4 linked regions of the Caenorhabditis elegans genome follow. The protein of the gene in region 1 purifies or fractionates together with the protein of each later gene. This does not show direct contact. Each region holds a gene or a part of one and is shown in the gene's direction. Other genes may lie near its edges. The genes, in order: rmh-2, hint-1, rnr-1 and BE10.3.

What was found.
Region 2: the proteins of rmh-2 (region 1) and hint-1 fractionate together in Caenorhabditis elegans (co-fractionation; one large-scale study listed by BioGRID). This does not show direct contact.
Region 3: the proteins of rmh-2 (region 1) and rnr-1 fractionate together in Caenorhabditis elegans (co-fractionation; one large-scale study listed by BioGRID). This does not show direct contact.
Region 4: the proteins of rmh-2 (region 1) and BE10.3 fractionate together in Caenorhabditis elegans (co-fractionation; one large-scale study listed by BioGRID). This does not show direct contact.

What each region holds. Positions count from the first base shown.
Region 1 is NC_003283.11:9,927,231-9,932,412, reverse strand, and holds rmh-2 (RecQ-mediated genome instability protein 1), read left to right. Parts: upstream 1-1,637; 5' UTR 1,638-1,670; coding exon 1,671-1,793; intron 1,794-1,853; coding exon 1,854-1,994; intron 1,995-2,039; coding exon 2,040-2,168; intron 2,169-2,218; coding exon 2,219-2,667; intron 2,668-2,712; coding exon 2,713-2,807; intron 2,808-2,853; coding exon 2,854-3,023; intron 3,024-3,067; coding exon 3,068-3,625; intron 3,626-3,693; coding exon 3,694-3,792; intron 3,793-4,405; coding exon 4,406-4,489; 3' UTR 4,490-4,632; downstream 4,633-5,182. Other genes in the region: suds-3 (DUF2040 domain-containing protein), read right to left, coding at 244-377, 426-621, 1,022-1,205, 1,253-1,386; C50H2.13 (uncharacterized protein), read right to left, coding at 4,648-4,796, 5,095-5,182.
Region 2 is NC_003279.8:7,279,142-7,282,166, reverse strand, and holds hint-1 (Histidine triad nucleotide-binding protein 1), read left to right. Parts: upstream 1-1,839; 5' UTR 1,840-1,855; coding exon 1,856-1,978; intron 1,979-2,022; coding exon 2,023-2,160; intron 2,161-2,234; coding exon 2,235-2,366; 3' UTR 2,367-2,497; downstream 2,498-3,025. Other genes in the region: rde-2 (SH2 domain-containing protein), read left to right, coding at 1-81, 200-259, 306-707, 756-975, 1,021-1,428, 1,504-1,514; F21C3.7 (Small integral membrane protein), read left to right, coding at 2,558-2,672, 2,843-3,025.
Region 3 is NC_003281.10:9,224,830-9,229,828, reverse strand, and holds rnr-1 (Ribonucleoside-diphosphate reductase large subunit), read left to right. Parts: upstream 1-1,578; 5' UTR 1,579-1,580; coding exon 1,581-1,706; intron 1,707-1,750; coding exon 1,751-2,029; intron 2,030-2,076; coding exon 2,077-2,807; intron 2,808-2,854; exon of another isoform or gene 2,855-2,979; intron 2,980-3,029; coding exon 3,030-3,680; intron 3,681-3,728; coding exon 3,729-4,308; 3' UTR 4,309-4,454; downstream 4,455-4,999. Other genes in the region: T23G5.3 (uncharacterized protein), read left to right, coding at 1-245, 299-413, 487-594. UniProt on the Caenorhabditis elegans protein: Provides the precursors necessary for DNA synthesis. Catalyzes the biosynthesis of deoxyribonucleotides from the corresponding ribonucleotides.
Region 4 is NC_003281.10:12,806,167-12,812,914, forward strand, and holds BE10.3 (FTH domain-containing protein), read left to right. Parts: upstream 1-1,859; 5' UTR 1,860-1,924; coding exon 1,925-1,987; intron 1,988-2,047; coding exon 2,048-2,146; intron 2,147-2,912; coding exon 2,913-3,100; intron 3,101-3,144; coding exon 3,145-3,263; intron 3,264-3,330; coding exon 3,331-3,496; intron 3,497-4,366; coding exon 4,367-5,345; 3' UTR 5,346-6,196; downstream 6,197-6,748. Other genes in the region: BE10.5 (Autism susceptibility gene 2 protein-like), read right to left, coding at 61-138, 283-311, 363-537, 604-636.

The sequences.
Region 1 (5,182 bases):
TTCCAATACAGGCATCTATATTGTTTCAGACTCGTTCTCTGGGATATGCAAATTCACGAATTTCATTATATAACATATCATAAATTTCGGAAAAGTATCATCTTCAAATCCTTTCATTTCACAGGAGATGTTACTATTGAATTTTCGATTCAATTTTAGGCAGTGTATTTACAATTAATTTAACCGTGAAATAAAATAAATAAAATAAGTAATTAGTGTACACATTCTTGATCAATTTTCAATTCAATTTAGGGACTGCGGAACGCTCTCGTCATCTTGTTTTTGGGATTTGCTCCTGCTTCTCGTGTGCCTTCCTTTGAAAACAACATCCTTGAAAACCGGTTTTTCAGTTGTTTCATTTCCGAGTGGTGGGAGGGCTGAAATATTATACATGAAGTTAAAATTAAGAGGTGTTTAGTTCTTACTGAGATAAGCACCTAGAAGCATTCCAACTTCTCGCTCTCGTTTCTCCTTTTCTGCTATCAACTCTTTGAAAAAATCAATGTAACGACCTTTAGCATATACATATTTATCTTCGTGTTGAGTCTCGTTCATAGCTGTTTCGGCCTCATATTCGTCAAGAATTTGGGCCATTTTGAGTTCATATTTTGCTTGATTGATCTGAAAATTGGACTATTTAAAAATCAGTCACGACTGGGTAGACGGCGATTGCTATTCGGAAAACCGCATTTCAGCAATTAAATATTTCGGCTATAGCTGCCTTTTTCAATTTTTTAAAGTACTCTTTTTTTTGAATTCTGGAAGGATAAATCGAAACTTGGTACTTATGTAGGAACCGTACCCAAAATTATAACTAATAAAAACATTACCGTGATTTTTGATTAGTTTAAGCCTAAAAAAGCAGCCTGCCCTCACGTTTCTATTAAATTACCATTTTAACAATAAATGAATGAAAAATTAATTTTACGGGTATGGCTACTACATACGTACCCAAAACTTGCAATTCTTGTGGTAACAATAGCTTAATTTTGTGCCTGAGACATTAAAAAGGAAATCTTACATCAAGTTTCTTGGAGAGCGCATCTTCAGCTTCTCGTTTCGCAGCTAAAAGTTCGGGATCAGTTCCGGCGGCAACATTGGCCTTATATTCTCTTGCTTCTCGAAATTTGTTGTCTCTTAATTGTGTTCGTAGTGCAATATATTGACTTTCTGCAAGGACAGCCCGCCGGAGAATGTCCGTCTTTCTGGAAAAAAAAAACGAAGTTTTTATTATTTCCAACGAAATACATACTTCCGTTCATATTCCTCTTGTGTAAGATGTTCTAATGGTGCTGGTTCTTCAGAAGGTGGTCGTCTGATGGGAAGTCTTGGAGTTCCGCGATCACGTTTTCCACCTCGTTTCCGCTTTCCAAAATTGTCTGACATTTTTAACTGAAATTAATTAGAAATGTGTGATAGAGGATAAGATTTTTTATGAAAATAATAACTTCAAGCTTCAATTATTGCAAATCAATGCGAAAACATAAATACACCACAATATCTAAGCAAGAATTGAATTTTATGAGAAAAAAATAAATTTGAAAATGCGTCCAATAAAGTAGGTGGAGCTCCGTAAACCCACACTGCAACCGCCGCGCACAGACACCGCAACATTGGTGCGCGGGTCATGTTTCACCGCCAATTATTTATTTTTGAACAAAATTTGTCTCATGAGTTCCAGATGCACGTTTCTGCTTCAATATTTCAGCGACCGGCATATTCTATTAAAAGATGAGTGGCTAACGACAGTTATTGAGTTTTTAAATAACCAGAAACCACAAGCAAAACATTTTGTAAGTCGACTTTTCAGAAAGATATATTTTTAAAAATTCGAATAATATGATTTATTTAAGGACGATGAAAAATTTGCAAATCTGGTGTTGGATCAATGGATTTGTTCGAGTATTGAAAGTTCATCGTTTCCCGTATTTGGCAACCATGGAATTGAAGAGACCGTTGCGAAACAAAACCTTCAAGGTCCAATCGTTTGTCAGGTAATTAAAAATAAAGTTCAGAGACATCATCGGTTTAATTTTCAGATTAATGGGTTCATTGATGTCGGCAGTCCATATTATCAACAGTATTGTTCAATGAGTGGGAATGGACAAAAGGAAGACCAATCTGGCTTTGAAAAAGTATTCCACGAGAAAGACAACGATACCGATCAGGTAAATTTGAATATTGCTAATAGTGATGAATAAGAAAATACAGATTCCAGAAACCTTCACGTCTTTTGAAACTGACCCTATTTGATGGAGAAACAACGTTGAAGGCGATTGAATTTTGGAAATGTCCCCAGCTCTCTCTACATTATAAACCTGGAACCAAAATTCTTATCGTTCCACCATGTGCAATTCGAAAAGGAACCTTTCTGTTGAAGCGAAATAATTGTAAAGTTCTAGGTGGACAAGTTCTTCCGCAATTAAATTCGTTCGTACCAGTAGATCAATATGCACGACTTTTGGGTATCAAAAGTTTAAACCTATCTGCGAAAAAGAAGGAAGAAGTTAAAACAACTATGAATTCCAATACGGATAGTATTCGAACTGTCACTAACTCTGTCATTGATTCTTCTTTGCCGAAATTCATTGATCGTCCTGATCCAGTTCAGCCTGCTTCAGGTCCATCTTCGTTGATCAGTAGATATTTTCAAAAGAAACAATGCCCGTTAGTTTTCTAGAAGAAAAACACATTTTAAAGTTATCCTTCCAGACCTTCCACTTCAAAAGAACCAGAAACGCGTGAAATATCCCCTGATATTTTTAATGACGAGGATGGTGATTATGACTTTGAAAATGAGAACATTGGTTGGTTATTTGCATTAGTTTTCCCAATTTAAATTATAATTTTAAGAATATGATAATCGTCAGTCAACTTCCATGAAAGCTAAAAATGATTCAGTTCTTGTTTCTTCTCTATTGAGTAAAATGAAAGATGACACGGAAGATTTTGATTTGAATCGGCGAATGACCAATCGATCACCGAAAAAGCGAAATTCAATACGCTCACCACCGATGGATGTCGTATGTTTTTAAAGTTAGAAATTTTTTAAAATTGAATTTTCTAGACCCGTCGAATATCTGGAATGCTAACATCCCGTAGAGTCGATCCAATGGACGAAATTCTTGAAAATATGATTGAAAAAGATGAGGAACCAGTGTCCTGCCCTTCGACATCAACGAAAAATCCATTTAAATCAATATCACAACCACCAAAGAAGAAAATCAAATCAGAACCAGAAAGTGATGATGATATTCAAATTATTGAATTAGTTTCCCCGTCCCAACCTGTCAAAAAGGAAAAATTATTTGAAGAGGAAACTATAAACTCAGAGCTTGATGAAGAAAATACTCGAATGAATAGTGAAGAACGTCAAGCTATGGATGCATTCTCTAAGCTTAATTTGTCATCATTGGCGGAAAGTATGAAGAAAATGAAATATTCAATAGGATCAAAACGATTTATTCTTCTTGCTTTCATTGAAGATATAACAGAACAATTGCGAGTTGTTGACAAAATGTGGACAATGAAAGTGCATTTAAAAGATTGTTGGACATCCGTTAATGCATTAATTGACAATCGAACCCTTCAAAATCTAATTGGATTTTCCTGTGAAGAAGCTTCGGTAGGTTTTTTGAAAATTTTAAAAACTTGAAAACTGAACCTTCTTTGTGAATTATTAATTATATTTAGACAATTCGAAAATCCAAAGATGCGGAAAAGAGGTTAAATGGAAAAATGCGGCTGAACGCTTTGGAACATCAGTTGCAAAGATTGGATCTTGTTTTCGAGGTATTGGTTCACAAATAAAAATGATTAAAATATATTTATTGGCTCTCGAAGATTTCTTAAAAGTGGTTTAGCGTGAATTTGGCTCGCTGAATTAAAAAAAACCCACAAAGAAAAATGAAAAATAAAATCCGGAAAAAATGAAAAATCCAACTTTAAAAAACACTAATTTATAACTTTGGCTGAATTCCCTATGGAGTTGGATTTTCATTATTCTTCGATTTTTAGTATTTCTGAATTCAAAACAATTTTGGATTTTTTAAAAGAAAAATCTTCCTTCACGCTATTTACTCCCTCTTTGAATAGTCCTAGAATATAAAAACACAAAAAAGTTTAATCTTTAAAAAATTTAAATTTTGCAATGATTTTTCCACCCTTTGTGCTTCTGATGTCCACTCTTCTTCTAATAAACAAATCTATAAAATTCTACCTTTTACCCACCGTTTCCTTATCTTTACGACCTCCTTCCCTTTTCTTGTGCCGTGGAACTTTTTTCACTCGATCGTCATGTGACAATAAGTTGGAAGAAAATATCACTTTGGCGTTGACATTTACGAAATTCTGAAGTGAAAAATGGAAATTTTTACATGCTCTTAACCTTTTTTTCAATTTTCAGATCGAATTCTTCGCTGGTACATTGTCGCCTTGCCCCGTCGTAAGATCAATTAAAACATTATCAGAGCTAATCGATGTCTATTGAATAATTTTTCATGTTTTTTCTGTTACATGTTCGAGAATTAGGTTACATTCAATTTTATTATCAATATTATGTGCTCACCAATTCGATGGGTCAGTTATGATGTCTTTAAGATTTGTATGAATATTCACAGAATACAGTATGTACATCATATTTGATTATTATTTAAAATTAGATTTGCACTGCAATACAACGACAACTGTGCATAGTGTGACTGCGAATATTCCAAAGGTCCAGGCAATCAGTGTGTGCTTGTGTCCTTTCAGATATTCCAGCACTTTATTTGGTGGTTTCTTCGAGGTTATATTTCCTGAAATTTGGGAAATCCGTACTATGATATAAGGAGTACACCCATTTCTGAGAATTCGTATTGCGCGACGCGCTAAATATCTCGTAGCGAAAACTACAATAATTCTTTCAATGACTACTGTAGCGCTTGTGTCGATTTACGGGCTCGGTTTTCGAAATGAATTCCTTTTCCTCAAATATCCTCAAATATGTTTCCCAATACGAATTTTCAGAATTTGTATTCCCGTTATACAATAGGTAACGAGAAATGAGATATGCCTCAAAAATCTTGCAGGAGAAATAATTTTAGAGAAACTTACTCTCATGGGGTGGAATAACTCGATAGATGTACACTGGTGGAGGTTCATTAAATATTTCAGATGTCGATATCGCTGGAGGTCTGATTGT
Region 2 (3,025 bases), on another chromosome or scaffold:
GGTTGGGTCGCATTGAGTGTGCATGAAGATCCACAAAAGCTACACACCTGTGATGCTGTAAGCCGAAATGGATATCAATCAGTATGTGGCAAAAGTGTCCTGGTTCATTTTGAATTGTTCACATTTTGGTTTTTGCTTATCAAAATTTCCCAGAACATATAAGCCACAACCTCCTGCAGTTTACATAATATAATTTCAGCTCCCGAATCCAGTCGTTGATTCTGATGTACAGTATCTTCATGATACAAGACTGTTGGATGTATGTGACTTATAGTTCAGAATTTTTCAAGTAATCACATTTTTAGATTATGACTGGTAATGGATATGTTCAAACACCCGAAACCGACGTACAAGATCAACAATCAAGTCAACATCAAGAAGACGTGCATTCTCAAATGAACTCGCAGACATCTGATTCGTACAATTCCTCTAGAGTTGTGTCAGAGAATCGGGAAATACCTCCGGAAACTTTTCGAAGCCAAAGTATCGAATTGAATCAAGTTGATTCATCCTTGTCCCAGACTACAATCTCAAGTCGAGCAGCACCAGTTATTGATTCAAATCAGTTATCAGATGAAGATGAAATTGATGATGAAGATACATACGGAACACGTGGAACATCTAATATTCCGATGAGACCGTTTATTAAAGATTTAGCTCCAACGATGCTTCAACTGCTTCGTCAAGATAAAACTGATTCCGAAAAAGTACGTAATGCCAGAACAATAATATTAATCTTCATCACCATATTTCAGCCTCAATCTGCTTTATGCACCGTTGTGCAAAAAATCGATGGCTTTGCAATTTTGTACACAGCCAAAAGAGACGTTATAAACGTTTTGCTTCAAGAAAGATCGTGTGAAGGATTGGAAAGATCCCCTCAACTCGGAGACGTGGCATTCTTCGATATCTTGCCTCGTAGAATTGAAACAAAAGATAGGCTCATTTTCAAGATTCCATATACACATATTGCAGGTATTTTACAATTTACCAATGTTTTAAAAAAACTTTAATTTTAAGTGAAAAAGAAACCAGACACGCCAGATTCTCTCCTTAAAATTGATTGCTTTAAAAACTCGGTCAGATGCTTCGGAGGAGTGCTTGAAATGAAAGTAAAAATCGCACTTTCAAAACCTGAACTAGTAGTGGAGCAATATCATGACAACACAGAGATGAACTCGGATCATCATTTTTATTATTTGAAAGCAACAAATGGAGTACTTGTCACAATTCCAAAAGAACGTCTTCTGAATCATTTGAATTCGAAATTATCAGCAGATTTTGACCTAATCGCGTGGGTTGTTCATCGAAAACCAATTGGAAATGTTTCATTACATATTGGAAAGGGAGGTGAAGCTTATCAACAGTTCACAAATGGAGATATTCGAGAGCTTCCGCCATTGTCTTCTAATCAATATTTCATGAATGGTAAGTAAGAGGGAAACCGAGTTTTCGAAGAAACCTAGGAGAATTCTTGGTTTTCTATTCAAATTATTATTTCAGTTCGAAAGTAAAAACTGCACAATCGACAAATCACGTTATGGGTTCAAATTGTATTCTGGTACATTAATTCTTGTTCTTGTGTTAACTTTTTTGATTATTTTTTGTATCATTTTACTGATTAAAGCATTTATTTTCACATGTTTATTGTTTATTTCTCGTTGTCTAGCGTTTTCATCGTTTGAAATATATTGCATATTGGTTATTTTTTGCCCATTTTTCAATATTTTAGTATGGCTTCCTCTTTGGTTAAAACCGCTTTGCGTCTTGCTTACCGTAATCCAGTTAGGTCAGGGTTACTGTAGGCAAGGTGTCTTTATCGATTCCACCATTTTTCAGGTTTACAAAGAGAAACATGTCGGAAGTAGATAAAGCCCACTTGGCGGCAATTAACAAAGATGTTCAAGCCAACGACACTCTTTTCGGAAAAATAATTCGAAAAGAGATTCCAGCGAAAATCATTTTTGAAGATGATGAGGTATGTAAGATCAGGCAAACGATCACATAAAATATTTATTTAAGGCTCTCGCATTCCATGATGTCTCTCCACAAGCTCCAATTCATTTTCTTGTGATCCCTAAGCGTCGCATTGATATGCTCGAGAATGCCGTTGATTCGGATGCTGCGCTTATTGGAAAGCTTATGGTTACTGCTTCAAAGGTAATTATAAATGAGTAAAAACGAATTTGAAAATCCAGAAATCTCCATTATATTACTCTTAAATAAAATTCCAGGTTGCAAAGCAGCTCGGCATGGCCAATGGATACCGTGTTGTTGTGAACAATGGAAAAGATGGAGCTCAATCAGTTTTCCATCTTCATCTCCACGTTTTGGGAGGACGTCAGCTCCAATGGCCACCTGGATAAATATTGCATTGCTTACATTCTGCCACTAATTCATTATCAGTCTTGTAAACAAATCAGTAAAAAATTATATTTATATTTATTTCCAAAACTATTTTAAACCGTGGCATCATGTTTTTTGAAATAAATGCATTCTTTTTCTTCTATCTGACGTGTTCAATTATTGAAACAATTAATCATTTCTGGTATAAAATATGACGCTGTACGATAAAGTGAAATCAATTCTGACGATTCCTGACAAAAATAGTAACGATTCGATCGTCAACGCAACTGACTTGTACTTGGAGTGGGAGAAAGGAGACGGGCAGTGTAAGTGTCACGTGTTTCAATGGCAAAGAAAGAGTTTTTAAATGTCATGAAATATGAATGTCGCCGGGCCCGGTTAGCTCAGCCGGTAGAGCACCAGACTCTTAATCTGGTTGTCGCGGGTTCGAGCCCCGCATTGGGCTGATCTTTTTGTATAGTTCAATTTTTTTCAGATCTTCTTCCACTCTTATTGATTTTCGTTATCTTCTTTTGCATAACTTGCGGTGTGTTTCAAGCTTTGTTGAGCCTTGTGGTTCTCTGTATCAGAAGCCTTTGCGGATTTGATGAGGAAGATGAAAACTTCAATATCAATGGAAACCACTTTGCTAGAAATTCGACACCTTCTGAACATCACG
Region 3 (4,999 bases), on another chromosome or scaffold:
ACTTGCCCACCTGAACTTCCATCAACTCCAATACCGAACCAAATCTTGACCCAAAAAGAAAATGTTCCGATTGTCCCACGTAATCTTCTTCTTTCGAAACCACCTCCACCTCCACCACCACCACTTCCGTCATTGATGCAGCCGAAGGATACTGTACAAATTCCGATGAGAAAACCTCCAACTGGCAGAAATTCCAAAAAAATTAAAACGTCTGCAGATTCGATTAGTCTTCCAAGGAACTTTACGTGAGATTTGGATATCTTTTATCTATTAATTACTTACAAAAGTTTATTTTCAGACATATTGCACATGTTGGTTGGAATGGTGCATCGGTACTTTTTGATAAGAAAATGACTGATGATCCGACTGTGAGGAAAATCTGTGATGCTGCTGCAGAGGCAGTTGATCTTAGTGTGAGTAACTTTCTTGAAAATTAGTAGAATATCTATAGAATTATAAAATTAAAATTCATTTATCTATTTTCAGGCGGTATACAATGTTGTCAACAAAAATGCGGATGAGGAGAGCCATAGCGTGGAAGTGCTCATAACTGGAGGATTAATGCAGTCAAGAGATGGAACATCTCGTCACTAACCATTTGAATATATCTGTGTCAAAATAAATTATTTATGTCATGTCTTGCATGCCAACAGATACGCGTTTTTCGAATTTTCGAAAATTCGCAATCACAGCTGGTGGTTTTTTATTGTCTGAATTGACCGACAGCAAATTTTAGTGATCTCTGACAAAACATCAGAAAATAAAAAACTACGCTTTTTTGTCCGCAGTTTGAAAATTTAAGGAAAAACTGAATATAAATATTATTTCATCGAAACATGTTTTTTTCTTTAAAAAATTACCGTACTCTTTCAAAGGCGCACGCATAAAGTTTTTAAATACAATATTTCGTGTCGAGACCATTACAGTAACCCGCGGCAAAATTGTGTTTTACAGCTTTTATTTTCGGGGTTTCTTCTGATCTTATGCATTTTTATGTGGTTTTATTTTGAATTTTACGTTTTTTTTTAAATTTCAGAGCAATGAAATGCGATTATCGGACTTGTCCTAAAGGGCGGAGCCATGGTTAGAGGCGGTGCTTGTGGTGCCGAAGGGTATAAATAGATTTTTTCCTCACACAGAAAACTAAACACATTTTTTGTTTAAATGAAATTCTTCAGCTGTGAATTAATATTTCATTTCAAACTGCCGTAGTTAGAAATGCTCAGGACCGTGGATTTTCGGTTTGAATTTCTAGGCCAATTTTGTGTGTTTCGACATTAGCTCACTTCTATCAGAAAACCATATTGAAGCCAGAATTCGTAGGAAAATATAATGTATTCTGTTTCACTGTAATACTTGTTTTTTCTATGAGACCAAGATTTCAATAATTCGTTTTCCTTTTGAATTTGAATTCCGATGGAGCGCGTTTGTTTGGTCTGCGTCTCGTTTTCGCGCGTTCCTCTATTACCTAGGCGCGAAAACTAGTAAATTTGAGATGAACTGGTCATTTGAAAATTCTCTCCGCTCCTCCATTTTCACTCTTTTCTTCTCAAATTGTTAATAATTCATCTTTTCCAGTTATGCAACGTTACAACAGCACTTATGTTGTCAAGCGGGATGGGCGAAAGGAAGATGTACACTTCGACAAGATCACTTCCAGAATTCAGAAGCTGAGCTATGGATTGAACATGGATTTTGTCGATCCGGTTTGTTATTAAACACAAGTTCAATGATGAATTAAATTTTCCAGGTCGCTGTTGCAATCAAAGTTATCAGTGGCTTGTACAAAGGAGTGACAACTGTTGAGTTGGATAATCTTGCTGCAGAGACTGCTGCTTCCATGACCACACAACATCCGGAATATGCTCTTCTTGCCGCTCGAATCGCCGTTTCGAACTTGCACAAGAAAACGAATAAGGTGTTCTCGGAAGTTATGAAAACCCTTCACGAGTTCCATCATCCTCATACCGGAAAACACGCACCAATGATCAGTGATGAGACTTGGGCTATCATTGAGAAGAATGCTGATGTTAGTTTTCCTAGGAATTGCATTTATTCAAAAAAATTTCATTTCAGAAGCTGAATTCCGCCATCGTCTACGATCGTGACTATTCCTACACCTATTTCGGATTCAAAACACTGGAGCGTTCCTACCTTCTCAAGATAAACAAGGAGATTGTCGAGCGCCCACAGCAGATGTTGATGCGTGTTTCTATTGGAATCCATGGAGATGATATTACTTCCGCAATCGAGACCTATAATCTGATGTCGGAGCGTTACATGACCCATGCGTCCCCAACTCTCTTCAATTCGGGAACATGCCGTCCTCAGATGTCTTCATGCTTCCTTCTGACAATGAGTGAAGACTCCATTCTCGGAATCTACGATACATTGAAGCAGTGTGCTCTTATTTCAAAAAGTGCCGGAGGAATCGGACTCAATGTTCACAAAATTCGCGCCACTGGATCTGTGATCGCTGGAACTAATGGAACATCTAACGGACTCATACCAATGCTTCGTGTCTACAATAATACTGCTCGTTATGTTGATCAAGGAGGAAACAAACGCCCAGGAGCATTTGCTATTTACCTGGAGCCATGGCACGCCGATATCTTCGAGTTTGTATCTCTCCGCAAGAACACTGGACCGGAAGAGGAACGTGCCAGAGACCTGTTCCTTGCTCTTTGGATTCCAGATCTCTTTATGAAGCGAGTCGAGAAGGATCAAGAATGGTCGTTGATGTGCCCATGTGAATGTCCAGGACTTGATGATTGCTGGGGAGAGGAGTTCGAAGCTCTTTACGCCAAGTAAGTATCTCCTGGTTCTTATTTTTTTAATTACCGAAGTGCGATATCCAGACAGAACTTTAAGAGTACTGCTTGGACTGAGTTTACTAACTTCGAATATGAAATAGTTGATCGATAACCGGAATATACTCAAAAAAAAAGGTGTGCTCCGGACAAAAATCAACTAACAAAAACTTTTAAACAGTGAAGTTAAATTTGCAAAGTTCATATCAAAATTTCCAGATACGAAGCCGAGGGACGAGTCCGCAAAACGGTGAAGGCCCGCAAGCTCTGGGAGCACATCGTTTCCAACCAAATCGAGACCGGGCTTCCATACATCACCTACAAAGATGCCGCCAATCGCAAGTCTAACCAGCAAAATCTTGGAACTATCAAGTGTTCCAACTTGTGCACTGAAATCATAGAGTACTCTGCTCCAGATGAGATTGCAGTTTGCAACCTTGCTTCCATTGCTCTCAATCGCTACGTGACCCCCGAGAAAAAGTTCGACTTCGTCAAACTGGCTGAGGTGACTAAAGTTATAACCAGAAATTTGAATAAGATTATTGACGTCAACTACTATCCAGTCGAGGAGGCTCGCAACTCTAATATGCGCCATCGCCCAATCGGGCTTGGTGTCCAAGGACTCGCTGATTGCTTCATGTTGATGCGTTACCCATTCACTTCGGCAGAAGCCAGAGATCTCAACAAACGAATCTTCGAAACCATCTACTACGCTGCATTGGAAGCCAGTTGTGAATTGGCTGAGTTGAATGGACCATACTCGACATACGAAGGATCTCCAGTATCGAAAGGACAGCTTCAATTTGATATGTGGGGAGTCACTCCAACCGATCAATGCGATTGGGCCACTCTTCGCAAGAAAATTGCAAAGTAAGATTAAAATACTCTTTCGAATCTGATTAAACTACTTATTTACAGGCATGGTATCCGCAACAGTCTTCTGATGGCTCCAATGCCAACTGCTTCCACTGCTCAAATTCTCGGAAACAATGAATCCATCGAGCCATACACTTCGAACATCTACTCTCGCCGTGTTCTTTCTGGAGATTTCCAGATTGTGAATCCTCACATGCTCAAGGATTTGGTGGAAAGAGGATTGTGGACTGATGAGATGAAGAATCGTCTGATTGCCAACAATGGATCCATTCAAAACATTGATGGAATTCCATCCGACATCAAGGAACTTTATCGCACAGTGTGGGAGATCTCTCAAAAAGACATTATTGAGATGGCTGCTGATCGTGGAGCATACATTGATCAATCCCAATCTCTTAACATTCACATGGCCAAGCCAAGCTACGCCGGTATCACATCAATGCATTTCTACGGATGGAAGAAGGGACTCAAGACTGGAATGTACTATTTGCGTACCAAGCCAGCTGTCAATGCAGTTCAATTCACTGTGGATAAGAATGCGCTGAAAACTAACCAACAAGCTGAGACGCCAGCCACCGTGGCCGAGTCGCAAGATGAAGGATGCCTCATGTGCTCCGGATAATCATTTTTTCTTTCACCCGTTGATCATGTTTGTACATTCCCAAATTGCTCACTTTTTCACTTTAATCTGTTATACTGATAACCCTATTTTGCTCGCGGTTACTCATTTTTTCTAAAGTTTTAATGGTCAATAAACTGACAATCTGAGTCCTCGAGCGATTTGAATTGCAGGAGCTGAAAAATGTGGAACCGTGTTAGGTTTACATCCGAAACTTCGGAAGTTTTCCTCTTCTCATGCTCTAGTAGTTTTTTTCCTAAATACTCTCTCAGCAACATCATGGTGCAACAAAAGTGGGTCTCGACTGAAGGTGTACGTGGGTAATGTTTAGTGAACCGTCAATCGAGCAGATTTCAAATGCGCCCTTTCGATTCTCTTTTCGTGTGCTCAATGAGCCGGAATAGAAACATTGAACTATGCGTAGAGCTCCTCTCGTCAGATGGGCCCCCGGTTCTTAGCGAGATTAGCTTGATTCTTGGTTTTTTTGCTCATTGCTCTTTTTTTCAAATAAACTACTACTCGTTTCCTCCCTGTCTCGTCATTGGAAGCTGTTCATCGTCTCTTTTGTCTTTTTTTGGGTTCTTTTTCCGTTTTTGCTCATTTCGACTTCAAAACGATTGATGACTTTGTTTCGGTTTGGCTTTTTTGGCTCAGAAGAGCACTCAGAGAAGCTATGAGACACACGAAATGATGA
Region 4 (6,748 bases), on another chromosome or scaffold:
TGCGGGCGGAAATGTAATGCACTTTATTCAAGATCATTAATAAATTTTCCAAAGGACTATCTACATGAGTTGGTCATCCGTATAGAAGGGTTCCGTGTGTTCTCGAATAATTACCAAATCGGGCATCTCCTCGGGAATCTGAACAAATGAAAAGGTTAACTCAAAAAGCCTGGCTGACCCATCACGGTTTGATCTACCAAAAATGCGGGAATTTTTCTCCGCATTTTCCGCATTTTTTGTAGATCAAACTCATATGGGACACCCGGACACCACGCGACTTACATTCGAAACGGTGTCATCTTCGCGGACTTCTGAAAATTAAAATTTAATTTTTTTTTCGAAAGATTACAAAATCAACTTACTTCTCGACTTCTTCTTACTGAAACGAACATCCATTGGAGCACTTTTGCCGCTTTTCAGCTGCTTCTTCTCGGTCCGCCTATCCGGAGTGAGTGGGGCCCCCGGCTGAGCTGGCTGCGGAGCAAGCGGCTGGTCATGACGATTCTCTCCTTTTTTACTCGAATCAACTGTATCTTCCTGAATGAAAAACGGTTTAAAAAAGGCCTGCCTGCCTACCTGCCTACTAGCCTATACTTGACGTACCTTACTCTTAGTTTTCCTTCTACAGAAGCACATATTGTCACACCTTCAATACGATATTTGCTCACAGCGATACAAATTGAAAATTTATGAAATGATTGATTTTTTTTTTGAATTTCAATAAATGGGCATTTTTATCAAGAATTAGAAAAAAATAAATTAAGAAAAAAAAATTGACGTCAAATTATTTTTTAATTTTTAAATTTAAAAATGTCTTAAATTTCACGCCAACCGGTTTTGCCTGGACATAACGCCTGCTTGCCTTTTCGCCTACATAACGCCTGCTGGCCTTCTTGCCTAGATAACGCCTGGATGCCTACATACGTGCCTTCTCGCCAACACAACGCCTACTTACCTACTGGCCTACACAACGCCTGTTTGCCTTCTCGCCTATATAACACCTGGATGCCTACCTACGTGCTTACTCGCGTACATAACGCCTACTTACCTACTGGCCTACACAACGCCTGTTTGCCTTCTCGCCTATATAACACCTGGATGCCTACCTACGTGCCTACTCGCGTACATAACGCCTGCTTGTCTTCTTTCCTACAAAACAGTTTTTTGCCGACTCGCCTACATAACGCCTGTTAGCCTTCTCGCCTACATATCGCCTGCTAGCCTTCTCGCCTACATAATGCCTGTTAGCCTACTCGCACGTACAAAGTCTGGATGTCTTTCCGTCTACATTACGCCTGCTAGCCTTCTCGCCTACATAGCGCCTCATTGCCTACTCGCCTACATAACGCCTGCTAGTCTTCTTGCCTTCTTAACTCATGCTTACCTACTGGCCTACATAACTCCTGTTTGCCTTCTTGCCTATATAACACCTAGATGCCTACCTACGTGCCTACTGGCCTACATAACGCCTGCTTGCCTTCTCGCCTAGACAACGCCTGGATGCCTACATACGTGTCTACTGGCCTACATTATGATCATCTCTCTGCCTACCTACGTGCCTATTTCAGGACTGCCGATACTTTTCAGTTTTTGGAAAATCTAGCATATCCTTGGCAATGTTTTTAGTTTTGATTTGATGAAATGTCCTAAAAAAACAATATTGGGAAATGTTTCTCAATCAAGAGGTGCACCAATCTTCCCGGTCACACAAAAAACCTAGCTACAAACCTAGCTACATTTACATATCGATCTATTCTCGACCAGATAGTGCTCGGTAACCTCCCCAGAGCCTGAAAAGGGCCCGATCAATATAATGACGTAGCCGTTTTCATTGTCTGTTCTATCTCCCTTTATTCTTATTTGAACTGCATTCACCTCTCTAATGAGACCTTCTGATTCGTTTTGCTGTGGAGACAGCGACTGCATGCTGCTCAACAGTTTTGTGTACGGATATCAAATTCCGGAGATTTTGATGAAGCCTACTGATGTAAGATTTTTATTTTATTACAAAAAATAAATAATTTAATATTTTTACTTCAATTTTCAGAACGTCGAATTAATTTCCAAAGTTTTTGAGAACGTGAAAATTCTTGAAAAAATATTGGAAAATGTTTCGACAGATGCGATGGGCAAATTAGATCTAAGAGTGAGTTCTGTAGAAAATTAAAATTCTCAGAGAGAAAAATATGATAATTTGGCAGGTAATTCAAATTTTCTGAAAACAATTTTGGCAGAAAATTCAATTTTTTTAATGATAATTTTTTGGCGGGAAGTTGAAATTTTTTGAGAACTTTTATTGCAGAGAATTCAAATTTTCTGAAAACAATTTTGGCAGGAAATTCAAATTTCCCGAAAAAAATCAGGCCGGAAATTTTTTGTAATTTTTTGAGAACAATTTTTGGCGGGAAATTCAAATTTTCTGAGAAAAGATTTTGGCAGGAAATTCAAATTTTCTATGACAAATTTTTGGCGGGAAATTAAAGTTTTTGGAGAAAAGTAATTTGGCAGGAAAATCAAATTTTTTAAGACAAATTTTTGGCGGGAAGTTCAAATTTTATGCGAAAACAGTTTAGTGGTAAATTCAAATTTCCCAAAAAAAATCAGGCCGGAATTTTTTTGTAATTTTTTGAGAACAAATTTTGGCGGGTAATTAAAATTTTCCCATACCAAATTCAGACGAGAAGCTCAAATTTTTTTTGGCGCAAAATATTGGCGGGAAATTCAAAAAATGGATGTAAATAGTCTAAAACTTCTAGGATCTTCTGGAAGCTTTTTTTCAACCTTGAAGCTTTTTGAAGGTTTAGGAAACCCAAAGAAAAGAAAAAAATTTATTTAAAATTTATAATTTATGGGCTAAATCAAAAAAAAAATGGTCCAAGTAACACTACAGAATTTAACGTATAAATTTCCAGCTAGTCAACAAAAACATCAACATCGCCTTGCTCCGTAGAATCCGACAAGAGCACCGAGACGTGCTCATCAGAGGAGCATCCGATTGTCGATTTGATTTGGAGCAAGATGCTAAGCAAAACTGTCCAGATTGTTCAGTTTTTATAAATCCACAAAGGGTGACTATGGAAAAGTTGGAGGATTATTTTCGGTGAGTATATATATTTTTTATATTGTTCAGAGCACATCTTTCAGATTTTTGAAAGAAATCGCTGGAGTCAAAGTTCGAAGAGTTGGCGTCGAGGATGTTGCAAAAATTTGTGATCAGAGGGAAATCCATGATAGGGTCATCAATTCTTTGATTGGCAATGATGGTTAGTTTTTACTGATTTTGTTTTGTTTTTCAAACCGTCCCAAATGCATTTAAAAAAAAATTTCCAGACCAACTCGTAGAGGAATTTTTCGGAATGAATGATATCTGCAGTGGATCAGATGAGTGTGGAATTATTGGCGGTCGATGTAGAAAATATGGTCCGATTCAGGAGAATATTTTCGATATTACACTGAAAACACCACATCATTTTGAGCATTTAGAAGTTTCAGACACGTAAGTTCAGTTTGAACAGTTAAATTGAGATATTGAGTTTGGGGTTAGTGAAGGGACATGGTTGTGGTACTGTAGGATTACTGTAGGGGTACTGTAGAGGTAATGTAGGATTACTGTAGAGATACTGTACTATTAGTATTGTGGGGATACTAAAGGGGTGCTGTAGGAGTACGATATTTGTACTTTAAGGGCGCTATAGCGAAAGTGTAGTAGTACTGTAGAGGTAATTTAGGGATACTGTAACAATACTGTTGTAGTACTACTGTAGGGGTAATGTAGGGTTACTGTAGGGATACTGTACTATTGGTACTGTGGGGATAATATAAGGGTACTGTAGGAGTACGGTATTTGTACTATATAAGAATACTGTGGAGTTACTTTAGTAGGACTGTAGAGGTTTTGAAGGATTACTGTAGGGATACTGTGATATTAGTATTGTGGAAATATCATAGGGGTACTGTAGGAGCTCTGTAGTAATACTACAGGGGTACTGTAGGAGTACCTAAGATATAATGTAGTAGTACTCTAGGGATACTGTAGGGGTACTGTAGGGTACTGTAGGATCACTGTACTTTTAGAAAAATAGATTTTGTCTTTACTTGGAGTATTGAGTTGGTGTTAGTAAAGGAATATGGATGAGGTACTGTAGGATTACTGTAGTTATACTATAGGGATACTATAAGGATACTGTAGAAGTACTGTAAGATTACTGTAGGATTACATAGTTTGAGAAATAATGATTTTTTGTCTTTTGATGGGATATCGAGTTGGGTTGGGCTACTGTAGGATTACTGTAGGGGTACTGTAATAGTTATATAGGAGTACTGTAGTAGTTATAAATTCTATAAATTATACTTGTTTTCCTTACAGACTCCTACATAGAATCGTCTTGTCGCTTGCCGATTCGTCGCAATCAAATTTAGCAGTAATTGATAAATATATAAATTCAAGAATTTCATGTGATTCCCTGACTCTGATGCCATCAATCCTACTTGGAACCAGGAAATCGTGGATTCCATGTCAACTCCAAGTTATGCGACAAATCGTAGAGCTGATTGTGGTGAAATGGAATGTGAAGAATTTGAGAATTGAGTTTGGAGAGTTGCCAGAACTAGATCTAAGTTCTGGAGACTTGGATTTGAACCAGAAATTGATTGGTTTAGAATTTGAATCTGTAGCTAATTATTCTTTGGAAAACCTTGATATTTGCCTGGAATTCAGTGAACTTCTCGCTGATGAAATGGAGCAATACCTGAAGTCACCTGAAGAACCTTCACCAATTGATGGATTAATTTCAAATGTTCAAAAAATATTTTCCACTAAATTTTTGACTCTGGAACTTCCCAAGGCATACATTCTCATGACACCTTTCAACTTGAATAAGTTCATCGGAAAGTTCATGAGAATGATTGAAAGCTCTCCGAGCTCTCCGACGATAAGAAATTCCAAAATAACAGTCAAGCTTTATCCAATGAGCTCACAGCTTATTTCTAGAACAGCTCCAGTCTTCAACTACAGAACACAGAATGTGCCGGAGATTTTGAATTCTGGTGCTCGGCTTGTCTCCGGGCCAATAGATCAAATTCAAAAAAATTCAAAAGACTACTTTCACCTGAAAGATATAGTCTCAATACCAGACGATAGATCAATTGGATATCGAACTCAAGTTCATATTTGGAAGGGAAGAAGGTTTTGTTTGGAACACGAAATGGCCAATTGCACGATAGATTTTGAAATTTATTTTGAAATTGAATTTTTGGAGAAGTTCTTCAGGAAGAGGCCTGATGTTAAGGGAGCTGGATTTTTGAGACATTTTTGGACACCTGAGTTACTGGTGAAACATTTTTAATTTTATTTGTTTTTTTGTGTTTTTTTTTGTTTGATGGGGTTATTCAAGTAATGTAGCAAAATGTATTTAAATACATTTGTGACGTCAGAAATGTATTTAAATACATGTTTTTATATACTTGAATACAGTTGTGACGTAATTTTTCTACACTTTTTAATTTTCCGACATTACTTGTTGAATAACCCCATAAGGGTAGGGTAGCAAACATTATTGCAAAATTTTTGAAAAGTGGTATTTACCGAGCTTTTGCCACTTTTCACAAAGCTATAACACTGTTGCATTTTTGAAACCCAACAATTAGGGGCTGCAAACGTTTTTTTCCGGCAAATTGGCAAACCGGCAAATTGCCGATTTGCCGGAAAAATTTCGGCAAGTTGTGCTAGTGCACATTTTTTTTTGGAAATCACTGTATTTCAATTTTAATCGGCAAAATTGTAGACTTCCTATGAATGTTCCTACATCTATTTTTAAAAGTAAATAAATTCTATGAAAATTTGCAGAAAACAAAAATTTCCGGCAAATTGGCAACCCGGTAATTTGCCGAAAATTTGCCAAACTGCAATTGCCGCCCACCCCTGGTTCGAATATTAATTTTTTTGATCGATGACTTTCAAAAATGTGGAAAAACTGAGATTTTTTCAATTTTTAAAAAATCATATAAAATGGCAAAAAATTTTTACTATAATATTTGGCAATTCTGCCCCACTAGCGCAATTCTGCCCCACACCTCATCTTTAATGAAAAAAATTTTTTTTTTTCAAATTTTTCATGTTTTTTCCTGTTCAATTTTTTCTGAATTTGTTTCTGATTTAAGTTTTTAATTGCTTCATTTTTTAAATAAATTAATTTTTCCGTTTTCAAGAAAAATCCTTGTTTTTCTTAAATTAAAATTTTGAAATTTTTAGGCGCACCGGCAAGTTTTTGGAAATATCACCCAGACGCAAATTGCGCAAAGTTTTGTGATTTTGCGGAATTTTCATCAAATTTTCTTCAGTTTTTTAAACATAACACGGCCCGAGAAGTTGTGCCTGTACCTACCTGCGGTACCTACCGTACCCCGGCTACGTTTACGCATGTTTTTCAAAAACGGCAATTTTTTTTACGGCAATTAATTTTAAAAAATGACAAAAAACGATTATCTTATTTTCGTAGATGAAGTTTTACCATAACTCGCTTCACGGATTTCTGGCTTCCCTCATAAATTGAAATGGAAGAGTTAGGCCAGTTTGGCTCGGTCATATCTGGGGTAGATTTACGGCGCGTTGCGTGTCGCGTCGCGGCTCGATTTTAGTTGTAAAACTAAATGTATTTGTCCGTGTGGAGTACACGACTTTCCGTTGTCCGGCGGGCGATTTTCAATGGAGCGGTCAGAACCTCGTGTCGCGTCTTAACCAGGTCATGCT